Schizosaccharomyces pombe: one gene and its partners. Changing the gene in region 1 together with any one later gene gives a genetic interaction. Each region holds a gene or a part of one and is shown in the gene's direction. Other genes may lie near its edges.

Region 1 (4,352 bases):
ACATAGCGATAGAAGTTGCCGAAAGTAAGGCCGCGCTATTGGCGGCACGTATGTCGGCGTTTTTCTACTGGCAGGAAAACCAATCGGTTGAATAGGGTGATTTGGTGATGAAGAAAGAGGAATCAAACTTAACATGATTTTACGATGTTGTTCTAGTGTTTGAAGTTCACGAGCTTTCCAAGTGGAGTATGATTTATAATTAGAAAAATCGACCACCGAATGCGAAAATTTACAAGCATCACTTTCTAAATCCTCAATTAAAATGCCAATATCTTCAGCTATGGCGGCCTCATCTATTGAGGGAAATAATTTTTCAGCATCCAACAATGCTTTTGAATAAGCAACCTTGAATACTGACGAAAAAACTTTTAACAAAGGAAAAGATGAAAGGTCAAATTGATCTTGTCCTCTATTAACGCGTTTTGTACTCAGTATTTCACTTTTGTTGAGAAGCTTTGAGTGATACATGTCAAGATGGGATACAAATTCAGATGATGGGGAAGCCAATTGGCCTTTAAGCGTGACTCTTTTGCATAACTCAATAAAGGAAGCAGTAATTCTGTCTGCTAAATTTGAATCGTAAGCTGTTCCCAAACGTTTAGTAAGTTCAGATGAAACAGAGCTGGCAAAAATCAAAAACATATCCTCAATTTTCCTCGAGTCTTTTAATTGCTTAGATATATGAGATTTGTTTATGTTATTGTAAAATGCTGCGAAACATCCTCTGATCAACTGATCTTGATATTCTGGCTCTTTTCCCATACTAATACTCTCAAGGGCAAGCGATAAATATTTTATAAAATCCTTGGGATATTTTGGATTATCTTTTTTTTCTTTGGCAGAAAATAGACTACCAGAAAATGCCCCATTGGTCTTTTTCTCAACTGGTGTACTAAATGATGATGTCTGCAGAGCTGAAGGGGTAGATGCACGATACTGTACTAAGAACAGGATTAACACATTCTTTAAAGTCCAGCTAAATACGTTGGTTAATTAAAATGAAAAGTAATGAAATAACAAACCTATAGAGCTCATCTTTACTTATAGACTCTGCAGCTTGAACTTCGTTCGAGTGTAAAGGAAGAGGTTTTCGTCTACAATTCATCCCATTTAGAAAATAAAATGAAGATATTTAATTTAGTTTCTTTGCAGGTTAAGCAACAGGATCGAAGGATATATAATAGCCTAGAGAATGTATTGAGTGGGAGAAATATGGTGAGATAGGCGGAGGTGTAATCGGAAATCTATGACAGAGAAGAATTAAAGAAACATGATTTTACTATGAAAGACTTGGTAGCTCATCTGTTAAAAATATTAAATTAGTAGGCAATAATGCAACTTGTATTTGGAATCAAGCTAACTGCATAATTTCTGCTTAATCCAAAGAATCCACCGTCTAAGACGGTCAAAATAAAGTGGCTTCAAGGACTATATTGAAAGAAATATAAAACAGTTATTATGATATATTTTAGATTTATTTAATGTATTTGCACACCAGGATCAATTATTAATGTTAACACTATCCACCACAAAGTATGAGAAAAAATAATATGCAAACATCTAAAGATAGTGAACTAAAAGAACAAGGTATATTTATTCTGTGTAGATTAAGCTGACATATCAAAGCTAAAGGAAAATCGTCCAAGCTTATTCATAAATTACCAAAACAGCGTACACGCATCTCTCAAGGACAAATGCATTCAACTCAGGATTTTGTTAATAATGAAGATCAAGATGCATATAGTGTAAGGGAGAACGAAAATGAACTTCATATCAATAATTCCGGGATGTCAGAGTTGAATAAGAAGTTGCAACTCCCTAACGTAGAGTTATCTACTCTTTCGCACACCCAAGAGCAGGAATTCAATGAACTGAACAAGCTGATACGAAAAATTAATGAACTACAAGAATTTTATTTACTTGAAGATTTGGCAAAACCTGTTACCAATGCTGGCGCTGACGCTGATGGTAAGACTAAGGCCTATTTCTGAATTTTTTACTTACATTCAAGAAGACACAATAGTCAAAGATTTAAAAAAAGAACTAGAAAATGAAAAGAAAGCTAACCATTCGTTAAAGAATGAGTTATTGAAAACTCGAGAGCAAATAAAAAACTATTCAAAAATTAATATACTTATAAAGGAGCTTTTCGGATTAGAAGTTGCAGACTGTATAGAGGACGAGGATGGATATCGTTTCAACTGTAAAAACACTGGAAGGAGAGGGAGTAAGTGCTTTAAGGGATTTAGAAATAATTTCAAGCTAACAGGATATTATTATAGCACTCGAATATCAGCTCTTGTTAGATGATCAAAACTTTACATTTACTCCACGTCTGAATGTTCAAACTGATGAGGAGCTTATGAAACATTTACCAGACTATTTGTTGGAGGAAATTATCTTTACGAAAGAACAAGGAAAATTATTTTCTGCTAGATTAATGAAAGCTTTGCAAGATTAACAATAATAACTATGGATTTTGCTTAAACTTTAATACTTCCTTGTTATATGAATAGCACTATATCTTAAATTAATTGTGCTCGTCGAGATATCACTTTTTTCATCGTCCGTCAAAAGCTGCGATGTTTGTATTCTGCTACCATAATTATCTATTATTAATTTTTACATCTTTTATTCGAAAAGACCTTAACCGCTTAGGAAAAAATTGAATGCAAAAAACTTAAGGAAATGGGTAGAATTCAAATCAAAGACTGTATATAGAAAGCTATTGATATCGTAATATATTATTATTCTAGTGATAACCATAAGCATTGGACTATCATAAGTAATCAAACTGCATACTTTTTCGTCCATTCACGGGCATTTGCAATTGCCTGTGGCTCATTTTCTTTCCAAATCTTTGCAACATCATTGTCTAAAGGGTCATCTGGGTTGGGAGCACCCATTAATGCCTGTATCGAAAGTAGCACGGTTCGAATTTGTAAAGCAGGACTCCAATCCTCTGATTTATTAATGTTAGTACACCAAAATAAGATGAAACGTGTGAAGTTTAACATACTTTTTAACGTAGATAAACATATGCGACCTAATTTATCAACGTTTGGATGATAAATTTTAGTAAGAAAACGAACATTGGGAGGCATCTAATAGTTGTTAAAACTCAAATTACACAATTATACAATTTTTTGAAGACAGTTTGAAACTGACAATGCCATTCTTCAAATTTTTGTTGAACTAGCAGGGCTAGCAAAAGGACCATGGTAGGCTCAATACTGTGTTTTCAAAAAAAACCTACCATTGGATACTCATCAGGAAGAAACAGCTCTAAGTGAAATTTTCCACCTTCATAAGCTGATTGCTGAGGCCCTTCCATAGTAATTTTAAAATAGCGAAGATTATCTTCAGTGGGAGCCGCTACAATTCCGGGTGGAGGATCTCTCGTAAGGGTTTCAATTTCCTACCAATTATTAGTTGAAAAATGCTAACAGAAAGCGCAAACCTTAATAATACGCTTAGGCAAAGCCATTGTTCATATACTTGGACTTCCTAGAATGCATGCTGTACACACAATAAGTACTTGGTTTAAGGAGAAACTGGAGAGATTGATACACTATTCTATATAAGGAGTGACGTAAAACATAATACAAATAGTGAGTGATAATAAAATCTCCACGGCTCTAGCTAAGAATAGTATTAGCAATTGACAAGTAGCCATGGCTTCTTAGTTTATTATTATTAATATTCATAATATTGTATAAAATTTAATTTGTTTTTTTATAAAAAAAAAGATTCAGAATCCTGAAATTGCTACAGTCACCTGGCCCATATCGAAAAAGATGAGGGAATTACAGGGAGACGATTCTTCAAGAAAGTCTCCTCCGAGTGATTCGGTTGTAAAAAATTCTTCGCCTATTGATTATGAACATTCATTGAAATCTCTTCAAGATGAACGTACCTTGAATTACCCCAATAAGCAATTTAATTCTGAAAACCCATCTTCATACTATAATATGGATGATAGCGGGGAATTATGCAACTTTGAATTGGAGAAAGACAGTCTTGAATCAATGATCCATGAATCGTCCACTGCTCTAAGCGCTCAATCAAACACTGCACAAGACGGTGATCAACTAGCTTCATCGTCAACAATCTCTAAAGATCACTCAGAAACGTTGGACAATAAGCTAAACGATTCTAAGATATTAATTAAAAAAGCTTCTAACTCCTTTGCAAATTTTTCAGAAAGTGTAAGGTCTAGTACCATTGTTGCATATTCTCAAACACCGACACAAAGGTTGCAAGGTTTAACTTCCATATCATCTTCTTCTTTTGACGATGGTAGTTATGGATCTCGTCGAATATCTTTTAACTCTCAGGGTGTTTCTGGTCGG
Region 2 (7,677 bases), on another chromosome or scaffold:
CAGAAAATGCAAGACAATGCTAAGGAATTAGATGAGTCACGAAGAAAAAAAATTGAACTATTGGAAAAGAAAGAAAGAGATGAAGAACAGTTTTTGGAAAAAGAGAGACGCGATACCGCAAGAAAATGGGATAACCAAGGAGATTTTATCAGAAATATGAGAAAAGAGATCTACTCTGGTGATTCTGTAAGCTTGGCAGATCGTGTGAATAGTAGCCGACATAACATGTTAAGGCCGTAACGTGATTTCTATGTTTTTTCTAATATAACTTTGATGCATAACGATATAACATTTCTGAATAATGAGTGGAAATGACGGTGGTAAACAGTTGAACATATCAGTTTAGGGTTCATTAAATAAATAGCTTAACATCCAAATGCATTGCATGATAGACGGTAATATTTTTTAATAATACATGAATTCTTAAAATTAACCATTGTTATCAACCAGAATAGTCGTGATCTTCGTTAATTACTTGTACCCGTTCAGGAACATTTTCAGCTTCGCTTTCGCGATAGGTCGGCGATCCGATTACATATCTCTCATTAAATCCATCGCATGATGTCTTTGGTTGATTCATTTTCTCATTTAATTGATTGTGTACTTTGCAAGCCCACGTAGTTGCTGCTTTTCGAGAACTTGTTTGTGGAGGATGTACATCTAGTATCTTTTGGAGTTCCACAGAGTATTCACCACATGGCATTGTAATAGCGGAAGAAAATAGATAATGTCTTAAGATATCTCGCTCATCTAATGTTGGTCTGTTTGGATAATTGGAAACAACCGTATGAATTAACTTCCAGTATGCATTTACCATTAAATTATTCGTGTTATTATCGTGCTTCGTGGACATCATCTCAATTGGTTTTCTACCTTGACCTTCTCGATCCGGAAGCGATTTAATTTCAGGCATAAACAGACGCCAATCTTTGTCTACCATAACACTGTGAAAGATCCATATAATAAACGATAAGATTAGTAGGGTAGGGAGAATCACCTGAATTCTTCTATTAAGGATCATGTTTTATAGTATTTAGCTACTTCGTTTTCCCCGTAAGAACACCTTCATCTACCAAATTAATTGTAAAGGAGAACTGCAAGGACAGAAACTCACGCGGCTTTTTTGATCTGATATGCGGCATCGCTATGTTGCAATAACGAGAAGGAATTGATGGTAAACAAAACTAACCTCCTGGGTTATACAGAGCGAGTGCATCGTTATATCTAATGCTAATTAACAGAAAAACTTTTAAAGTAGTAAGATGGAACAGGCTGCTGGATGATCCAATGCATTACCAAATTGATTTAGATAAATGTATTGCCAACCCTTTAATTTTTTTTTTAGATATTAAATATCTTTTATATCAATTCTATATGCTTTTTATTTTAAGACTCAGAAGAGTTTTAATTATAAGTATAGTTAATAGTTAATAAATATGTAGTTTAGTGATAGAGATATAACCAAATAACAACAAAAAAATTAACTAAAGTATCATTATTATAAAGTCCATTGCTAGGTTTTATCACTATAAAATTTTTTTTAAGTTTGGAATTATTTACTAAAAAAAAGAAACTTAACGTAAATAAATAAAAACTAAGAGGACTTGTTAGTTTTTGTTTAAAAAATAAATAAATAAATAAAGAAGGAAGAGTTTAGCTAAGTTATCAAGTGAGCATAGATAGCATATAATAATCTATGTTTACAGATTTAAATGTTTTAAAGATAAATTACTTGCAATTGCTTGAAGATATGAATTTGCGTTTGATTAGTTTAAATCAAAATGTAAGAATTTTGGGTTAAATTAACATATGGCAAAAGGCTTGTCAAGTTTAAAGCTAAAAAAATACAAAACAATAGTGAATTTGAAAAGTTGTTCTAAAAAACTTGGACAAATCGTTTCCTTGCATTAACATTTCATTTAAAGAGCTAATCTATTTATATTACTTACTGATTATTCTTTATTCGTGGTTATTTCACACATAGGGCTACCCAAACAAGGTAAATTTTTGCGTCGTCTTGCTAGATTTAATGAAGGAATACAGAACAAAAAATCTTTGAGCTTTATATTTATTGTGTGAATTGAAAGAGGATGTTTGCTTGTGCTAGTAAAAACTTAGAAACAGCAATGTATTCTGCTCGTCCTTTTAATATTTTGCTAGTGTAAAGTGTCAGAGCAATATTCTCTTTTACTTAATTTTCGTTTTGAGTTAACTTTCAACGTCCAAGAATACCAAATTGACTAGCATAATAATTTAATGTATAATAGACACATGAGTTTATAATTACAGGTAAAAAGATGTTTGAAGTCTTCCTTTAAATCAGGTGTGTAGGTATAAAATAAATAGATCATTTTCATCTAACATGACCTGTTTACACAATTATACTTCAGTCTTTAGTTTATAAACATGGGCTTTAGTGTAATTTAACTGTGGGTTTTTGTATATTTTATTCATTAATTGACTTCATCGTTGGGTGAAATGCTGTTCAACCGTTGTAAACAACACACCTCTTTTCACGACCACCCACTCTTTTAGAATTTTAAGTAATATATAATTTGTTGAAGATACTATCTTTATGTCTGACAAGGGCATCTTTCGAACGTCTTCAACACCCTCGATTGTGGATGTTACGCCAGATCGTGGTGAAAGGCCACGAAAGTTGGTTCGCTCAGTGCTAGAATCTCCTTCTCAGAAAGATGTCGCATCAATTGTCAAGATAGAGCAAACACCATCTCGCCCATTTTTCAATGACTTTTTAAAAAAAAGAATTACCGATTCTTTAAACGAACGCCCTAATTTGCTCAACAAATTTATGTCTGCTCAAGATGGCACTCCATCTAAATCAACAGGTTTCAATGAACGGAGTTCACAACTTGTGTCAGAATTTACTACTACAGAGGATATTGAGAATTGTGAAGAAACCACTCAGGTTCTTCCTCCTAGACTGGTTGTTTACGAGCTACGCCTAACAAATTTTAAATCATATGCAGGAACTCAGATAGTGGGTCCGTTTCATCCTTCTTTTTCTTCAATTGTTGGACCAAATGGCTCTGGGAAATCTAATGTTATCGATGCTTTACTTTTTGTTTTCGGTTTTCGTGCTAGTAAACTTAGGCAATCCAAAGCGTCTGCCTTAATTCATAAATCTGCAACTCATCCTTCTCTCGATAGTTGTGATGTCGAAATTACTTTTAAAGAGGTAAACTCTGACTTTACTTATGTTGATGGAAGCGAACTAACAGTTCGTCGTACTGCTTATAAAAATAATACTAGTAAATACTTTGTAAATGGGGTTGAGAGTTCCTTTTCTGCAGTTTCTAATCTTTTAAAGGAGAAAGGAATAGACTTGAATCATAAGAGATTTTTAATTCTTCAAGGAGAAGTCGAATCAATAGCGCAAATGAAGCCCCGGGCTATATCAGAAGGTGATGATGGTCTTCTTGAATATCTTGAAGATATCATCGGAACCTCGAAATATAAGCCAATTATAGAAGAGAATATGCAAGAACTTTCGAATTCTGATGATATCTGTGCTGAGAAAGAATCTCGTTTAAAACTGGTGCTCTCTGAAAAGGCGAAATTAGAAGATAGCAAAAATTCGGTTCTTTCTTTTCTCAAAGACGAAAATGAGTTGTTTATGAAACAGAATCAGCTTTACCGTACTATTCTATACGAAACACGCAATAAAAAGACGTTAGTTCAAAACTTGCTTAATAGTTTGGAAGGAAAATTACAAGCACATTTAGAGAAATTTGAACAAACCGAGCGAGATATTTCGGAAAAAAATGAAGAGGTTAAATCATTGCGTGAAAAGGCAGCAAAAGTAAAAAACGATTGTACTTCAGAGAAGAAAACTCGCCAGTCTTATGAACAACAGACTGTGAAGATTGAAGAGCAGTTAAAATTTTTACTTAATAAAGAAAAAAAGTTAAAGAAATCCATTGAGGCTCTTTCATTCGAAAAATCAGAAGCAGAAAATTCTTTAAGCTCTCATGATATTGATTCCCAAAAGTTGAATTCTGAAATTGCCGATCTCAGTTTAAGACTTCAACAGGAAGAATTGAGTTTGGATGACATTAGGAAAAGTCTACAGGGAAAAACGGAAGGTATTTCAAATGCTATTGAAGAAAAGCAAAAGGCTATGGCTCCCGCCCTCGAGAAAATAAACCAATTGACATCAGAAAAACAAATTTTACAGGTTGAGTTGGATATGTTATTAAATAAAGAAAATGATCTAATTAACGATGTTGAGTCCTCTCAATCTTCGCTTGATAAACTGCGTAATGATGCAGAAGAAAATCGGAATATCCTGTCTTCTAAGCTTAAAGTGCTTTCCGACCTAAAAGGAGAGAAGAAAGATGTTAGTAAGAACATTGAAAGAAAGAAGGAAACTGTTCACAATACTTACCGAAATCTTATGTCAAACAGAACAAAGTTGGAGGAGATGAAAGCTTCTTTAAGTTCTTCTAGATCTCGTGGAAATGTGTTAGAAAGTCTTCAAAGACTTCATGAATCTGATAATTTAAATGGTTTCTTTGGACGTCTTGGTGATTTGGCTACAATTGACGAGGCTTATGATGTGGCCATTTCAACTGCCTGTCCTGCTTTAAATCATATTGTAGTTGACAATATTGAAACTGGACAGAAATGTGTGGCTTTTCTGCGCTCCAATAACCTAGGCCGTGCTAGTTTTATTATTCTCAAAGAACTGGCGCAGAAAAATTTAGCTCGTATCCAAACACCTGAGAATGTTCCCCGGCTCTTCGACTTACTTCGGTTTAATGATCAGAAATTCGCTCCTGCGTTTTATAACGTTTTGCAGAATACCTTAGTTGCTAAAAATTTGGAACAGGCTAATAGAATTGCGTATGGCAAAACACGTTGGAGAGTTGTTACACTAAGTGGTCAGTTAATTGATAAATCGGGCACAATGACTGGAGGTGGTACTCGAGTAAAGAAAGGCGGAATGTCCTCAGCTATAACGAGTGATGTATCGCCGGCTTCAGTTGAGACTTGTGATAAACAAGTGCAACTAGAAGACACTCGATATCGCCAACACCTAAGTGAGCTGGAGAGCCTTAATCAGCGATTTACTGAAATTTCGGAACGTATTCCATCGGCGGAACTAGAGATTTCAAAGCTGCAGCTTGACGTTTCTGCTTGTGATAGATTGGTAGCTGGAGAAGAGAGGCGAATCTTGCAGCTTAAATCCGATTTAAAAAGTATTAGAAACAACAATGAACGTAAACGGAATCTCCAAAACAAAATATCAAATATGGACAAGGAAGTTGAGGCCATAAATATTAACAATGAAGGCCTTGTCACTGAAATTAAGACGTTACAAGATAAGATCATGGAAATAGGTGGGATTCGATATCGTATACAAAAATCAAAGGTCGACGATTTGCATGAGCAACTCAAATTTGTTAAAGACAAGCTTAACAAAATGAGTTTCAAGAAGAAGAAGAATGAGCAACGCAGTCAATCTTTCCAAGTTGAACTATCAAACCTTACTAGCGAGTACGATACAACTACTGAAAGTATAGCCACTTTAAAGACTGAACTACAATCGTTAAACAAGTATGTGGATGAACACAAATCTCGGCTCCGCGAATTTGAAAATGCTCTATGGGACATCAATTCCTCTATCGACGAACTAGTAAAATTTATTGAATTTGAATCTAAGCAAATGAATTCCGTTAAAGCAGAAAGGATTGAATTGGAAAATCAAATTCAAGAGCAGCGTACGGCATTATCAGAGGTCGGCAATAATGAAAATAAATATTTAAAGCTCATGTCAAATCTGAAGTTACACAATTTGACTGAATTTTGTGACCAGACAACAATGGACTCAACTTTTCCCGAATATTCTGAAGATGAACTGAGTTCAGTTGATAAAAGCGAGCTGGTCTCTAATATTTCAGTCTTGAAAAAGAAAACTGAAGACAGAGAAGTAGATATCAATGTTTTGTCTGAATATCGTAGATGTAACAAGGAAGCAGAAAAGCGTGATTCTGATTACCAAAGTGAATTGCAAAAAAGAACCGATTTGAAAAAAGTCGTTACAGATCTTCAATCTCAGAGGCTCGATGAGTTTATGTACGGATTTGGAATTATATCTATGAAGCTTAAAGAAATGTATCAAATTATTACTATGGGCGGAAACGCAGAGCTTGAGTTAGTGGATAGTTTGGATCCGTTTTCTGAGGGGGTATTGTTTAGTGTGATGCCTCCCAAAAAATCTTGGAAGAACATATCTAACCTTTCGGGAGGAGAGAAGACGTTAAGTTCTCTAGCCCTTGTCTTTGCTCTACATAATTACAAACCGACTCCTTTATACGTTATGGACGAAATCGATGCTGCATTAGACTTTAAAAACGTTTCGATTGTTGCGAATTACATTAAGGAAAGAACTAAAAACGCGCAGTTTATTGTTATTTCTTTAAGAAGTAATATGTTTGAGTTATCTTCTCGTTTGGTTGGCATTTATAAAACGGCGAATATGACTAAGAGTGTCACAATCAACAACAAGGAAATACTTACAGATTAACTGCACATTCAAATAAAAACGTAGAAAATTGGAAACTAGATATTTAATAATTTACGAATTTTTGGCTACTGAATGTCAGTGTTTCATAATTCACAGTGTGCATACTAATAAATCTATGTTATGAGAAGATTAAACTAATTTAGTTTTGTGGCACCCAGTTTATGTTAATGTTTCAGAAATCTGTTTATGAACGTAATAGGACTACAAATATATAAAATTAATCTTCACTCGCTTTTAAAGCCTGTAAAATCTGCGCAAAGGAATTGTATATAATTAAATATGTTGTTTACATCATCAATTTCAGAAGGTATCTACAATTTGTAGTTACATAGTATAATATTTTAGTGGGTAATGCTTTTAAAGATTTATTGCAATCGTATGCATACCATATAGAACGTATCCAATTTTAAGTAATTTAATTTTATGGTAGTAAATTAAGAATAATTAGAAACAAACAATAAATTAGATTAAACAATATGAGTCGTAAACTTAAATAGGAAATCTCAATGCACACGACGAGATAAATGAAAGACCAATTAACAAGAAAAATGCAAATGATAAAAGCTTTCCAGCTAATAAGAGATAGGAGGACTAAGGAAGAAAGTAATGAAGGAAATAAATGAATGTTAATTACCACATGGCTAGCACCATGTAGCCTAACATGGAGCATCTGAGTAACACTTATTTTATAGCCAGTCGCACTGATGGTGTTCCCACCCATTAAACTCAGTCAAACCCAGGTGCTGAATTTTCCTCTTCGATTTCGATCGGTTTCTTTTAAAGGACAAGCTTGATTCGCCTTTCACAGCAGATTTAAGACGAGAATACGCATCAGAAACTCGGGAAGTAACATTTCTTTTAGAAGGTGTTCTGTCTATTAGTCCCTTGCGAGAGGAAACTTCTTCAATATCGAAAAACTCTATATCATTTGCAGAATTTTTTAAAGTGCTTTTACTACTCCTTCTATTGGCTCGTTTTTGAGCAACAAGCTTCTGAATTGCGGCGCATTCTAATCTGTATTGCGAATTGCTAAGTTCCTCACCAAGTGCACCTCTTGCAAGCCGTGCAGGGGAGGATGGTGAGGCATAACGACTATGGTTTGAAGAAAGACCAAAACCCTGCTTTCC
Region 3 (6,363 bases), on another chromosome or scaffold:
GATTGCCGATGAACACATTACGGCTGGCCGCAGTGTTCGAGCAAAAATTTTGAATCGATTCAGGTAAAGGAGAAGGTCTAGCAAATGTCAATTTGAGTGGCCTACCATGAAAAATGAATCCACGAGGATGGTACCTTTCATAAAAGAAAAAGGCATCAGCAGAATCAAGAAATGTAATTATAATCCTGCGTTTTCCAGGGTTGGACTGAATCTTCTCTAATGGTCCAGAGTGGATAAGCGAAAGTAATTCGGAAATTTTGTAGTCAACTGGCAAGTTACCAAGGATTAAAGCACGAAAATCTAACAAGGATTCGTATTCTGAATTGAATGGTGAAAATTGCTCCGCAGGTTGTTGGGCAAACGGAGGAGGAGTACCTTCTCGAGGTAGGAAATTTGGACGGTTTACAGGTTTTGCATGATACATATTGTCGGTATAGTGGGCATAGGGCATCGGTATGAAGGTGTTTGCTGAAACATACATGTTGGGGTAATAGGTTGAAGGTGGAGAAGGATAAATGACTGAAGAAGAGTCCTGGTCAAAATGAGGATAACAAGGAGAATCGAGTTGTTCGGGAGGGGGATTCATTGATTTAGGAGCATACCCATTATGAGATTTCGGAATAAATTCTGCGGCATTGATGTTTACATGGAAAGAAGGATTAGGTGAAAGATTTTTGTGCTTTTTACCACCACAGTCAAGGTTGGTACATTCATTATTGTCCACTGAATTAAGACTACTGTTATCATCTTCTGAATCATTTAAAGTGCAAATGCTGTTGGCCGTGCCAGTACTTCCTGTCTCTTGAAAGCAGCAATCACTATCAACGAAGTGACCGTTGTTTGCTTGGTCTTTTTCAAGAACACGGTCGGTCTCAACTTCACTTCCGGCACAGCCAATTTTGTGCATAATAGCCATTATAGTGTTAAAAAAAAAGAATTGAGTGAGAATATGGATGCTTCAAAATATAGAGTGCTTTAGACTGATGAGTTTCGCTTCAAAATTAGTATCGATTTAAATGCTGTATTCGATGGTCAAAACTGGTGAGAGGGACACTTATTTATAGATAAAAAAAATCATATCGTGTCAAGTTTTCGTAACAGCTAAGCACCATTTCAAATGTAAACATTGCTATTTTCGCAAGCATTCCCCGCAAAGCTGTCCCACATTTCTTAAATAGAAGGACGAATCAAAAGGCACAAAGTTGCAACTCTAAAACGTCAGGATGGCCCACAAACGACGAATGCGACGGTAAATCCGCTGCCACTCTTCGCTAAAGTCGACGTAATGTACTTATTTTAGCGAGGCTTAATAGTTAAAATTACTTACGTCCAATCATAGTTGTCCCTTTAAGTTATTCGGTTCTTATTATGACTGCACAGTGACTACCACCAATTCCTCGCGAATAGTACAGTCATGATAAAGGGCTGGTAGACAGCCATTTCTAAGCCTTGAAATTACCTTTAATAAAAACCTCGAGAGCCAATAGACTTTTTGGGTGCAAGATTTACGATTAGCCAGCCTTCCCCCGCCTTTTAAACTGCCAGAGCAAAATTAAGAGTAGATAGGTATCCCCCATATCCCTTATACCGAGCAATGCAAATACTGATCCAAGGCAACAATACCATCAACCTTACGAAGAGTACTCAAAAATATTGTTAAAGAATTACGTATACTGTGTTAGATGCTTCAAATTGCCCGTCCACTTCTAGCATGATTGTTGCTGTTTTGAAGTTATCGACATTGTGGTTCATAAGGTTTTAGCTTCATAAAGCCTATTATATAATGTGATGCGTTTCGTTAGATAGTAAAAAAGTTCGGCTAGGGCTATACTTAATGCTTATTCATAAATTGGTGTAGACTGTATTCTGTCACAATGATGTACGTTGAGGCTTGATCTGATAAAAAAATTTGGAAAGAAAATAACGATGTCAGTAAGTTAAAAGTAGTTAAATTTGAAGTTCTTCTGAATATTTCAACCATTAATTAAAAATATTAATTTTAAAAAATAGAAGTCTTTAATGAGTTTATCATTTCTAGGCCGTTAGCGAAAGTCAGAGTTTGAAGGTGTGTTATGCAATTAAATATTGTAACTTTTGCTTGAAAGCCTCTTCAAATAAAAAGGATTTGTTACGTGTTTCTTTAAAACTTTTCGAAGGTTCCAGATACTAGGTTATTGCATTCAAGCTCATCAATTTTAGATTTGTATACCCAACATTGCCAGTCAACATCAAGTTCAGCCGCCTTTTATCTATATTTTAAGAAGACCCTTTACAAGTTGTTACTATGCCGTTGAAATTTGTAAAGCTTTCAATACAAGTAAGTACATTATTTGTTCCTCTATCGTGGCCGATGAAGGATGTATGCCTTAAGCTACGATCTTGTAAGGAGGTTAAGACTCTTAACAAAAAAAAAAGTTGAAACAAAATATACAAAATTCATACTGATTTTCTGCTTTCGAAAGGCTCCGTAAGTGGGGTAGTTTGGTACCGTATAGGAGGTATTCTTACCTCACCATTGTCACTCTTAACCTCTACACCACTTAACCTCAGTCAAACCAAATTAGCAATTGAAGCAGTAACAATTTAAAATTATCAAGTTACTTTTACCTAAAGTTTTATTAATCAAACTGGCATTTCTTTTTTGATTTTTTTGTAATGGTTCTACGTTACAACAGCCCACGCCTCAATATTCTTGAGCTGGTCCTTCTATATGTCGGATTTTTTAGTATTGGGTCCTTGAACTTACTGCAGAAAAGGAAAGCTACTTCTGATCCTTATCGTAGGAAAAATCGCTTCGGCAAAGAACCTATAGGAATAATTTCCTGGTGGATATTGGGAATTGCATTAACCTACGTACGTATTTCAAGCATTTTTCTTAAAAAATATATATATATATATATATAAGTATATTTTGAAAGAAAAATGTTTATGTTTAATTGTTTAACCTCGCTTCATATTGCTAATTTCATTTTTAGGTCGTTGATATCAGCAATCTTGTCATCTACGCATTGCGAGTTCCAAATTGGTGGCCCTGTAAAACCACTGTTGTCTGTTTAATTCTCTTCCTTTTATTTTGGATAATTGTACTTATCTCATGCGCAGATTCTAAAGCTCTTCCAAAAAATGCGGATTCCATACTAAAGGCCTACCGCCTTAGCGTCTTGTACGTTTGGGCTATAGACATTGTATTTGAAACAATTTTCATTGTCTACAGTCCTCATCCAAATGAAACATTTCAAGGAATTGTATTGGCGGACCATGTAGCCCGATTGGTCTTATGTGTTTTCGCTACAGCTATATATCTAACTTATAGACGAAAGAGACATACGCACGATCCCCTGGATTTTGAGGAGCGTCAATTAACAGAAGAGTCAAACGTTAATGAGAATGCTATCTCTCAAAATCCCTCGACCGTTCAGCTCGGTGTATCGGCATCAACCTCGAATTTTGGTACACTCAAATCAACATCGAAAAAACCTAGTGATAAATCTTGGGCAGAATATTTCCGTTCTTTCTCTACTTTACTTCCCTATCTCTGGCCGACAAAAGATTACCGACTTCAGTTTCAGATTTTCATTTGCATAGTTTTACTCTTTTTGGGGCGAGCTGTTAACATACTTGCTCCCCGACAACTGGGTGTGTTAACTGAAAAGCTCACAAAACATAGTGAGAAAATTCCTTGGTCTGATGTTATTCTATTCGTTATCTATCGTTTTTTGCAAGGAAATATGGGAGTAATTGGTTCTCTTCGATCTTTCTTATGGGTTCCTGTCTCTCAATATGCTTATAGAGCGATATCAACTAAGGCTTTGAGACATGTTCTAAACCTGTCATACGATTTTCATTTGAATAAACGTGCTGGTGAGGTTTTGACCGCCTTAACTAAAGGAAGTTCGTTGAATACGTTTGCAGAACAAGTTGTGTTTCAGATTGGGCCTGTTTTGTTGGATTTGGGAGTAGCCATGGTATACTTTTTTATTAAGTTTGACATTTATTTTACGCTTATTGTGTTAATTATGACACTTTGTTACTGTTACGTTACGGTCAAAATTACATCTTGGCGTACCGAGGCTAGAAGAAAGATGGTTAATAGCTGGCGCGAGAGTTATGCTGTGCAAAATGACGCGATTATGAATTTCGAAACCGTTAAAAATTTTGATGCAGATGACTTTGAAAATGAACGATACGGTCATGCTGTGGATATTTATCTTAAGCAAGAGCGGAAGGTACTATTTAGCCTTAATTTTTTAAATATCGTTCAAGGTGGAATATTTACATTCAGCTTGGCAATTGCTTGTCTATTAAGTGCTTATAGAGTAACATTCGGCTTTAACACTGTCGGTGATTTTGTCATACTTTTGACATACATGATTCAGCTACAGCAGCCTCTTAATTTTTTCGGAACTTTATATCGTTCATTGCAAAATAGCATCATCGATACAGAAAGACTACTTGAAATTTTTGAGGAGAAACCTACTGTGGTGGAGAAACCAAATGCCCCAGATCTTAAAGTCACTCAAGGTAAGGTAATATTCTCTCATGTTTCATTTGCATATGATCCACGAAAACCTGTTTTATCAGATATCAATTTTGTTGCACAACCAGGAAAAGTTATTGCGTTAGTGGGAGAATCAGGTGGTGGGAAATCTACAATTATGAGAATTCTTTTACGATTCTTCGATGTCAACTCGGGATCCATAACCATTGATGATCAAGACATACGAAATGTTACGTTGTCTAGTCTTCGATCTTCAATAGGTGTAGTTCCCCAAGATAGTACCCTTTTTAATGATACTATTCTTTACAATATTAAATATGCTAAACCTTCTGCGACCAATGAGGAGATTTATGCTGCTGCTAAGGCTGCTCAAATTCACGATCGTATATTACAATTCCCAGATGGTTATAATTCTCGTGTCGGAGAAAGAGGCTTAAAGTTAAGCGGTGGTGAAAAACAACGTGTAGCAGTTGCCAGAGCTATCTTAAAAGATCCTTCAATTATCCTTCTCGATGAAGCTACTTCTGCTCTGGACACAAATACTGAGCGACAAATCCAGGCAGCCTTGAATAGACTTGCATCTGGCCGAACTGCTATAGTAATCGCTCACAGGCTCTCCACCATCACCAATGCAGACTTAATTCTTTGTATTTCGAATGGTAGAATCGTTGAGACTGGCACACACGAAGAGTTAATAAAGCGTGACGGCGGAGCTTACAAAAAAATGTGGTTTCAACAAGCAATGGGAAAAACTTCTGCTGAAACTCATTAATCTAAGCATAATAACAAGCCTTTACTAATTTTGGTAGTTATGACTAATTTAAAAGGAGAATTAAAATACACTAACTTTGATTGTGAGTAATGCTGCTCCTTTCACAGAAACATTATGGTACTAAAAATTTTATCACTAAATTCCATACCAATGAATTTCTATTATTAATTAATTTATTAAATCGTAGTATGTATAAGTACCAAAAATAATCCCAAAACCTAACCCGATTATTTTTTTCTGCAAGTCTTAACTGCAAAGCTTTTGTACAATTTAAGTATTACTCATCTGCTGAAACCATTGACGAAGTGCAGAAGACAAAAGTTGCGGCAATTCTTCGATGTTACGAACCACCAAATAGTAATCAAAAGCAAACTCATCTATATATGGCTGAATTTTTAAATCCATAGTACCATCTTCTTTAGTGTCGTAGTAAACCTTTTTAATATCAAGGATGGACGACTTTTTCTGGGTGTTAACATTGTCAAGAATAACAAACACAATCATCACTTTTTCTTCTTGAGCACGCCTTAGCAGTTTCCGAATGCTATCATGATCTTCACAAATACCGTCTGAAATTATGATTTCTAACTGCCTTATGTCCGAGTTAGATCTATGATGGGAAGCCGTATTGGCATAGTTAAAGCATTTCATAGAAGCATCGGCGAGAGCCAAAACATTGGTATTACTTTGCTCAAATGTAAAATGCGAAAACATTTGTACACCACTTTCAGATGAAAACTGTTTGTCGAAAGGATGCAACAATTCAGGTTGCTCCCCAAATTTCATCACTGCAATTTGTCCAACTTCAAGTAATGATAATGCTTTTGTTACCAAAGCTAAAGTCTCTAACGCTAGAACTGTGCTGCCCGACTCACTCATCGACTTAGAATCATCAATGGAAATCATCACTTGATACGTCCTTTTACTAGGTTTAACACGACGCATCCATATCTTGTCTTTCTTGAACTGAGAAGCAATATATGGGATGATTCGTTTCATATTCAACCGTTTACCCGTACGAAAGTCTCCTTGCATCTTAGTGGCCAAGGTTGGTTCTAATATCAATCGAAGCTGTTCACATAACTCAATAGAA

Evidence for each region.
Region 2: mutations in csm1 (region 1) and cut3 are lethal when combined (synthetic lethality), as found in Schizosaccharomyces pombe (one study listed by BioGRID).
Region 3: mutations in csm1 (region 1) and hmt1 are lethal when combined (synthetic lethality), as found in Schizosaccharomyces pombe (2 studies listed by BioGRID, with this or other methods).

What each region holds. Positions count from the first base shown.
Region 1 is NC_003424.3:5,284,595-5,288,946, forward strand, and holds csm1 (microtubule-site clamp monopolin complex subunit Csm1/Pcs1), read left to right. Parts: upstream 1-1,515; 5' UTR 1,516-1,535; coding exon 1,536-1,587; exon of another isoform or gene 1,588-1,626; coding exon 1,627-1,968; intron 1,969-2,014; coding exon 2,015-2,227; exon of another isoform or gene 2,228-2,282; coding exon 2,283-2,461; 3' UTR 2,462-2,696; downstream 2,697-4,352. Other genes in the region: Munc family exocytic/endocytic regulator Ync13, read right to left, coding at 1-976, 1,023-1,105; ubiquitin-conjugating enzyme Ubc13, read right to left, coding at 2,790-2,962, 3,020-3,104, 3,257-3,418, 3,461-3,487; SEA complex subunit Sea3, read left to right, coding at 3,798-4,352. UniProt on the Schizosaccharomyces pombe protein: The monopolin-like pcs1/mde4 complex is essential for accurate chromosome segregation during mitosis and meiosis II. May clamp together microtubule binding sites on the same kinetochore, preventing merotelic attachment of microtubules.
Region 2 is NC_003423.3:1,001,362-1,009,038, reverse strand, and holds cut3 (condensin complex SMC subunit Smc4), read left to right. Parts: upstream 1-2,515; 5' UTR 2,516-2,575; coding exon 2,576-6,550; 3' UTR 6,551-6,776; downstream 6,777-7,677. Other genes in the region: protein Cwf25, read left to right, coding at 1-240; erv2 (sulfhydryl oxidase), read right to left, coding at 443-1,021; SPOM_SPBC146.02 (uncharacterized protein), read right to left, coding at 7,237-7,677. UniProt on the Schizosaccharomyces pombe protein: Central component of the condensin complex, a complex required for conversion of interphase chromatin into mitotic-like condense chromosomes.
Region 3 is NC_003421.2:1,913,835-1,920,197, reverse strand, and holds hmt1 (vacuolar phytochelatin and glutathione S-conjugate ABC family transmembrane transporter Hmt1), read left to right. Parts: upstream 1-2,526; 5' UTR 2,527-2,655; coding exon 2,656-2,853; intron 2,854-2,975; coding exon 2,976-5,270; 3' UTR 5,271-5,442; downstream 5,443-6,363. Other genes in the region: mug24 (rrm type RNA-binding protein), read right to left, coding at 1-916; mdn1 (midasin), read right to left, coding at 5,541-6,363. UniProt on the Schizosaccharomyces pombe protein: Involved in metal tolerance. Probably involved in the transport of metal-bound phytochelatins. Compartmentalizes cadmium within vacuoles, thereby protecting cells from cadmium toxicity.